Linked DNA regions of Canis lupus familiaris. The protein of the gene in region 1 interacts with the protein of each later gene in a pairwise test. Links are inferred from orthologs where the notes say so. Each region holds a gene or a part of one and is shown on either strand. Other genes may lie near its edges. The genes, in order: CBX5 and PRR14.

Region 1 (3,906 bases):
AAATTTTTTTATTAATAGTGAATTCTTTAGCTGCACTCCCAACGTGGAGCTTGAAGTCACCACCCTGAGACCAAGAGTCACATTCCTCAGACCCAGCCTGCCAGGCACCCCTAAATCAACAGTTTTCAACCGAGGAAGATTTTGCACCACCACCGCCACCATCACTACCACTGACATCCCCAGGACATCTGGCAATGTGTGGTGACATTTTGATAGTCACAAATGGGTGTGAGGGAGGAGGTGAAATGCATTTATTAGCTTAAAATGTCAATAGTGCTGTAAGAAATCCCGTAAGTCAAGACTATTTCTTTTGAACCTAAATAAATTAGGGAGAACTGTAATTTAGATCCCTTTAGTTCTTATAAACTCAGCAGAAGCAGCTGATTAGCACACCTACAGTTTATAAGGAAATACGAAATCAAGTTGTCCTCTTGCAAGTGTCAGAAAACACAAATCTCTCCAGTCTTCATTATATGGACAACTAAAATTAACTTTCCTTTGTATAATGTCACAAAGGTCTATAATCAGAAGTGTCCTTCATACACAGTTAAACGTATTACAGCATCTAAACATCTTTCTAATAACCTTATGCCATTGATCAAGAGGGCAATTTAGATTCTGATATAACCATTATGTAACGAAAACGTCTTTATTTTTACTAAAACATCTTCAAATCAGCTGAATGGGTGTTACCAACAGGTGATTACAGTGCCTGTAAAATAAACACTTTGAAGAAAATACAATGAAGGCAATGGAATAATCCAGGTGATGGAGGAGTCCTCCTACCCCTAACACCCTAAATATCATCCATGTTAAGCAATTTGTCAAAATTCAGACATCCTTAGAGGAATAGCAGAAAGAGTCTCGGAAACTTTTTAATGGATGGGACGCCTGGGTGGCTCAGTGGTGGAGCGTCTGCCTTGGGCTCAGGGCGGGACCCCGGGGTCCTGGGATCCAGTCCCGCATCCGGATCCCTGTGGGAGGTCTGCTTCTCCCTCTGCCTGTGTCTCTGCCTCTGTGTGTTTCAAGAATAAATAAAATCTTTAAAAAAGAAAAAAAAAAAAAAAGGAAAGAAACCTTTTAATGGTGTAAAGAAAGATACAAAAGTTCACAGAAGAGACTGAGGTAAAAAAAAAAAAAAAAAAGACTGAGGTAAAGGCGTGGAAACACAGATGATGCGTGTAAAGGGTTTACTTACTTAGCACAGCGTCTCCCTGGCAGGTACTAAGTACACAAAAGAAAGTCAAGTTTTTAAAATTGTGTTTTTATTCTGAGCATCACCGTGTTAGTTCCGCCGGCGCGCGGGGGGGCGGGGGGGGGGGGGGGAGGACAGCACTCTCTCGTGGTGTAGGGATGACACAGGGGGAGGGGAGGAGCAGGGGATCGTGCCTGGAAACACGAGGGCTGCCTTTCCCATCTTCACCGAGTCACAAACTGCGATCCCTGAAAGGACTTGAGCGGGAGGGACGCCACCTGCCCGGATCCCACCCGGGCCCTGGACACGGACGCACGGCGGGAGGCGGCCCTTCCCACACTTCTCCTGCGGGCTCACGAGCATCCGCCACCGGTCCGGGGAAGGCCGCGGCGTTCCGCGCACACGTGGGTCGGCGCCTGTCCGCGACGGCAGCGGCTCTTGTTCCGATGCGCGCGGACGCTGCCGGCCAAGCGGGTTCCCGACGACCGGCCGAGCTCCCCTGGGAGCCTCCACGCGCGGGGCGACCAGAAGCCCCGGGGTGCGTGTGCGCGTGCGCGTGCGCGAGCGCGTGGAGCGGTTATGCCGAAGCCGAAGCGACACGCCACAGAGTCAGGGTCTCCCTACCGGAAACGCGTGTGGGGTGAAGGCCCGAGCGCCGGGCGCCGGCGGCCACTGTGGAGAGAACGCGCGCCCCCGCGCCCCCGCGCCCTCCCGCCCGCTCCTCCACAGCCCGCAGCGAGGCCTCCCGCTTCCGCACCGCTGACTGGGCGACCCGCCCGGGCGCCGTCCGCAGGCCGCCCGCCGCCGGCTCCACAGCGGGGCCTCCCCCTCGGAGTCCGCCCGCCGCCTCCGAGGAGCCCAACCTACGGCGCGCTCGGCGCCCATTGGCTCGGCGGGACGCTGCTCAGGGCGCAGGGCCCGCCCCCACGTCCCGAGGGCCCGAGGGCCCGTCCGTCGGCGGCAAAGGCGGACCCGATTGGCCCGCGCGCAAGCCAGTCAGACTCCGGGCCGCGGAGCCCCACGGCACTCCCGGCCGGCAGACATCCCGCCCCCGCCGTCCATTGGTTGGCTGAACCCAGCGCTCCCCCTTTACGAGCCCCCACCCCGCGCTCCATTCATTTCACACAATAACGGGCCCAATTGGAGTCAGTTCAACACCTCGTATGAGTAGGCGAGACGATCCGCCGCTTACCCGGAATCGAGACCGGCCACTCGCGCCAACGCCTCCCCTGTTCCTCTGTGGCGAGGCCGGACCACGGGACGCCGCCGCCGCCGCCTTCTGCGCAACGCCAACCGCCCGCCAAAACGGATCCTTCCCTGCGCCTGCGCGGCCAATCCTGCGACCGGACCCTTTCTCCGCCCATTACGCCTGCGCAGAGCGGGGCGCGACTCCCGCCACGACGCAGGCGCCGTAGAGTCGCCGCCGTCTCCCGCCCGCCATTTCACGTGCTCCAAGCGCCGAGCGGAACTGGTTAGTGCGCCTGCGTAAACTCGCCATTTTACTACACATGCGCCCGGCGGGCGGTCGTTTGCAAAAAAAAAAAAAAAGAAAAAAAAATCACCTGATAACCTCGTTCGTAATATATTAGCATTTACCGTGCTTCGCCAACTGAGCGGAACATAATTTCGGGGCGGAATGGATTGAAAATTCATTTAAATACCTTAGGTTCGTTCAAATATGAATGACTGGTTGACGAGCCAATCACAGTAATTAGGAATAATATTACCCGGGAACCAATAGACCTGAAGGGGCGGAGCCTGCGTAGAACGCCCAAGCGGATGACGTTGCGCAGCAGTGCGGGGCTATAGACCAATAGCAGGGGGAGGCTATCGCAAACATCCAATCAGAGACGCTCAGGGGCGGAGTCTACCAATGCCTAAAGCGAGGAGGCGGGATAAAAAAGCGAGGCCGAAGGTAGGCTGGCAGATACGTTCGTTAGATTACTCCTTTCTGCCCCTGGACGCCGCCGAGTAAGCATCGTTAAAGTCTCCCCTCCCACCGCCGTCATGTCTAAGTCAGAGGTGAGTAACACGCTGTCTCCCGCCTAGTTTCCTTCCTCACTCCTTCCCTGGGGCCGGTAGGACGCGGCCTGGCGTGGCCGCTCGCGCCAGCCCGTTCGGCAGCCCTTCGGGGGCCGCCAGGGCCTTCCCCTCCCGAAGTTGAGGTCGCCATTTTGTCCTCGTCGTCGCCATGAGGCCGCCGTCCTGCAGCGCTTGGCTGTGGCGCCGGGCTGCGCCCTCCCGGCAGAACTCGCGGGCGCATTCGACGGGTTTTGTTTGATCGTGTCTCCGGGAGCGAGTTTCTTGCGGAGCAGCCGTAGTTCCCCGCCGCTTCGGCGTCCGTCCAGCCGAGTCCTTTTGTTGCGCGTGCGTCGGAGGGAGAGTCGGGGCGCATGCGCCCGCGGCCTCCCAGCCCCCACCGCTCGGTCCCCCCCGAGGGGAGAAGCACGTGGCCTCCCGTAACCCGAGGGAACAATACGTGCCTTGTAACGCTGCTGTCTAGGATTTTCCTCCCAACGGGACGGGGCTGGGCGTTGGGCGCGCCACGTAACGAGCTGTGTCCCCGCTCCTAGTCTCCCAAAGAGCCCGAGCAGCTGCGGAAACTCTTCATCGGAGGTTTGAGCTTCGAAACGACCGATGAGAGTCTGAGGAGCCATTTTGAGCAATGGGGGACGCTTACGGACTGTGTGGTAAGACGTGCCGGAGACGGA
Region 2 (3,906 bases), on another chromosome or scaffold:
GGGGCTCAGTTATGCCCCTAGTTTACCCTTCAACCTGCCATACTCACCTGGTCTGTGAGGACCATGTGGCCTGTTGGGGTGGTGAAGCAGGTGGCTGGCTTTGGATAGAATCCCGCTGGTTGCTGCGGTGCCGTAGGGTGGTAGTCTCTTCTTGGGGCACCAGGGGAACCTAATTGAGAAGGAAGTGTCAAGAGCAAGGTGATGAAATGAGATGGGACAGGACAGGACCTCACTGAACCTAACAGTGCCGTATGCCACAAAAGTGATAGAGATTGTGGCTAGAATTCACTTAAGAACCCAAAGAAATGAGTTGAACGGAATCAGTTCCAGGGCCAGATATTATAGTGTCCTGAGCTGCAGTAATCTCACCCAGGCTGTTTGGAGAAATGAAAAGGAGTGACCTTAGGTGAGTCACTGCCCTATTTTGGGCCTGTTTTCCTAACCTGTGCAATGGAGCTAAAGACCTCAGCCTGCTTCCCAAGAATAGCTTGGAAGTTGGGCTGGGGAAGAAAGCAAGGGTTTCTCATACTTAGAGAGTTGTAGCCATGTGGTTCTATGCCCAACACGGTTGATGGCGGGGAATGGGCACTAGAGACCCTGTCCAAATATAGGTAGATTCAGCAAGAGCCAAATAGAACTCTAGCATTAGGGAGGCTGCCTGAGCAATGGGTGTGAGAATGAGGTATCTGGATCTCAACTATCCTCATTAGTGATCTGGTCTGACTTTGATACTGAAGAGGGGACCAGAGGGAGGAAGGAGGCCTCTCAGTTCAAGGGGCTCACCATGTGGGCAGTCATAACATCTTCCAGCACCACAGCCAGGACCCTCCGAGAGGCCTTTTCCAAAGGTGAAGGGGCCGCCAGAGACTGCAGTCTCGGCCGTTTGGGGCTCCTGGCTCCCCATAGTACTCGAGCCAGGGGCTGGCGGCACAGACGTGGCCGGCCAGGTGGGCTGGAGGATGAGAGAAGCAGAGGACGGTCGCCTGAGACTGTCGTTGGCTCTGTGGTTTCCCCGGTACGGCCGCCAGGCTCCCCGTTTCCCGTGCTCAAGACAGGCGGGCGGGGTGCGCTCTCACCTCGAGTCCCCGGGCAAGTCCATGGGGAAAGCGGCGGCTCCGGGGAGTCCCTGGGGGATCCCAGGCTGCAGCCTGGGATGGGGAGGGGGAGCGGGGGAGCGGGGAGTGAGGGCCAGTCCCTCCCCAGGGGCTCCGCCCTTCAATGGTCAGCCCGCCGCTCCGGGTAGCCCATGGGCCAGAGCCCTAGGGAGTGAAAGGGCGCCCCCGGCTGGCCGCCTGGAGCGGGTGTCTTCCCGCTGCCGTCGCCCGAGATTAGTGGATCACCCGCGCACCCGGACTGGCACTTGCCAGGAGAACCTGGCTTGCAGTGGCCCCGGTTCTCCCACGGCCCGAGCTTCTGGGGCCTTTGTCCCCGCAGAATCCGCCCTGAGATCCCCCAGGATCAGCTGGGATCCCGGTCCTGAGAGGCTCACTTTCCGCCGGGTCCCTCTGCAATCCTCATCCACGGCCAGCGAGTGGCCAAGAACTCCGAAGCAATACTCCCACACACTGACGGTGCCCCCCGCCCCACGGATCCCTTAGACTGGATCCCTGCGGAAAGAATCCTACAGCCCGGTTGCTCCAATCAGACGCCGCGAGGATCTTCCTCTCCCTGTGAGTTTGGGCTCCGCAAAGCTCCACTCAGACAGGGGCAGCCCGAGCCTGAGCATCACGAACTCGGTCCGGATCCCCAGGGATCCACTGTCAAGCAGATACCCCCTTCACTCCAATCCGGGGAGGTCCCGCCCACAGACCCTCTCCTTCCCCCCTCCCCGGCTCCCCACCCAGCGCTCTCCCCAGCCCAGGACCAGATGGTTCAAATGTTTCCTTCCCTCCCTCCTCCCGCCCTCTCTCCAGCCGCTCGGTGCCCTCCTCCGCGCGCCGCTCACCGCCGCCTCCCGCGGATCCCGGGTCTTCGACGGCTCCCACCTCCGGCTCCTTTAAAACCAGCCTTAGCCAGCACTGCCCAACCGCCGAGGGCCTTCTTCTCGCAGCCCTCGGGCACCGCCCAATCGCCGGTCCCCGTCTTCCGGAGTGGTGAGAAACTAAGTGAAGCCACCTGGCAGCCATCTTCCCTAGGGGCAAGAAGCCAAATTGGGCAGCGCTGCCATTATAGCTGAGGGCAGGTAGCTCTGTCCTCGATGAACCGAAGTGGACCGGATGGTGTCATTTTCTGAAGGCCAGTCAGTGGCCGAAGACTAGACCAAGTTTCTTGAGCTACTGAGGCAGCTGTAGTGAATAGAGTGCCGCCACGTTTTTTAAGGGCATCTTCCGGTTCTTTGGTTCTTAGGTTAATAAACGTGAGCTGAATACTAACGACATGTGAAATTCCCAATTTCCTAGAGAGGCCTCACTGAGAGCGATTCTGCTACCCTCCGGGAATCCTCGAGTCCCCCCAAGGCGCTGAGATGTGGGGGGAGGGACTAAGAACCTGAGACTAGGGATAGTGCCGCCTCCGGCTCCAGGGTTTGAGCGATGTACCGAAGAGACTGAGCGGAGCCGAAATTGGGAAGAGGCTGGGGACATTGACCTTCCCGGAGGTGTGGGGGTTTGTGCGGCCCGCGCCGAGGGCTCAGTATAGGGGCGACATCGCAGGGGATCAATAACCACCTTGGCGTGCTCGGTGGTGTCCAGCGCCTTCCTCTCTGTTCCAGGTTCCCACGAAGCCAGTGTCAAGGGAAATAGTCCTTAGTAACAGTACTACTACTACTACTAGTCCTTAGTAGTAAGGGATCGGGGATGGAATCGAGCTGCTTGAGAGGCTGTATCATGCAACCTTTACCTGGAGCCAGACTACTGGTGGCGAGGAAGTGGGGATGTAGTAGCTTCTTGCACGGTGAAGGCACCTTCACCGCCGAACCAGAGGCTGTGCTTCCACTAATACCCAGAATTCTCCTATCCCAGAATTCCCTGTACTTACTTTCTTGGTGGAACAGGAAAGCCTGAAGCCTAGAATCCTGGGTCTGTGGGATGAGGGTGCCGAGTACCCAGCCAGTATAATTCTCTCTTCTGGGACTTAGTGATAAAAATGACACAGAGAGGATGATATAGAAAGAGCAGAATCAGGGGTGGCTCACCCAGAATCCCTGGGTGGCTCAGTGGTTTGGCGCCTGCATTCGGCCTATGGCGTTATTCTGGGGTTCGCGGATGGAGTCCCGCATCCGACTTCCTGCATGGAGCTTGCATCTCCCTCTGCTGTGTCTCTGCCTCTCTGTGTGTGTCTCTCTTTCTTTAAAAAAAGAAAGAAAAAGAATCAGCAAGGTGGTGTGGAAAATGAAGACTCCCCAACTCTGAAGCAAGGATTCATCCAGATAGCTCTCTCAGGATTACAGCCAACTCTCTTCCTAAGGCCTGCTGGGTCCTCTGGAAATCCATGATAAGACTTCTGATGAGAGTAGGTGGCAGCTCTTCCAGCTAGAAGTGTCCTCTCTCCCTTGGATTCCTGCTGGCTTTATGGGGCTTGAAGATGTTCCTTAGGGGTACAGAGATGCATCCAGCTGTGAGTGCTTGGAGAACCTTCTCAATCTTGATAAGCTGAGAGCCCCTCTGTAGGCTCTCACTTCCCTGTTGTTGGTTTTTTTTTTTTTTTTAAGATTTTATTCATTTATTCATGACAGACACACACACACAGAGAGGCAGAGACAGGCAGAGGGAGAAGCCGGCTCCATGCAGGGAGCCCGATGTGGGACTCGATTCCAGGTCTACAGGATCACACCCTGGGCTGAAGGCAGCACTAAACTGCTGGACCACCAGGGCTGCCCTCACTTTCCTGTTTGAACAGGTGCCTCTCAAGCCTCACAGGGCAAGAAAAGCTCCCAAGAGCAGAACATGCCTAATCAGAGTTTTGATT

What was found.
Region 2: the proteins of CBX5 (region 1) and PRR14 interact in binary tests that used the Homo sapiens proteins (3 or more experiments, as listed by UniProt). The two-hybrid records come from large-scale screens. The link is inferred for Canis lupus familiaris from reciprocal best matches to the Homo sapiens genes CBX5 and PRR14.

The regions. Positions count from the first base shown.
Region 1 is NC_049248.1:45,636,197-45,640,102, forward strand, and holds the start of CBX5 (chromobox protein homolog 5), read right to left. Parts: upstream 2,548-3,906; 5' UTR 2,388-2,547; intron 1-2,387. Other genes in the region: HNRNPA1 (heterogeneous nuclear ribonucleoprotein A1), read left to right, coding at 3,203-3,217, 3,769-3,885. UniProt on the Homo sapiens protein: Component of heterochromatin that recognizes and binds histone H3 tails methylated at 'Lys-9' (H3K9me), leading to epigenetic repression. In contrast, it is excluded from chromatin when 'Tyr-41' of histone H3 is phosphorylated (H3Y41ph).
Region 2 is NC_049227.1:17,677,430-17,681,335, forward strand, and holds the start of PRR14 (proline-rich protein 14), read right to left. Parts: upstream 2,840-3,906; 5' UTR 2,667-2,839; intron 2,132-2,666; 5' UTR 1,946-2,131; intron 1,149-1,945; 5' UTR 1,100-1,148; coding exon 1,077-1,099; intron 953-1,076; coding exon 784-952; intron 170-783; coding exon 48-169; intron 1-47. UniProt on the Homo sapiens protein: Functions in tethering peripheral heterochromatin to the nuclear lamina during interphase, possibly through the interaction with heterochromatin protein CBX5/HP1 alpha. Might play a role in reattaching heterochromatin to the nuclear lamina at mitotic exit.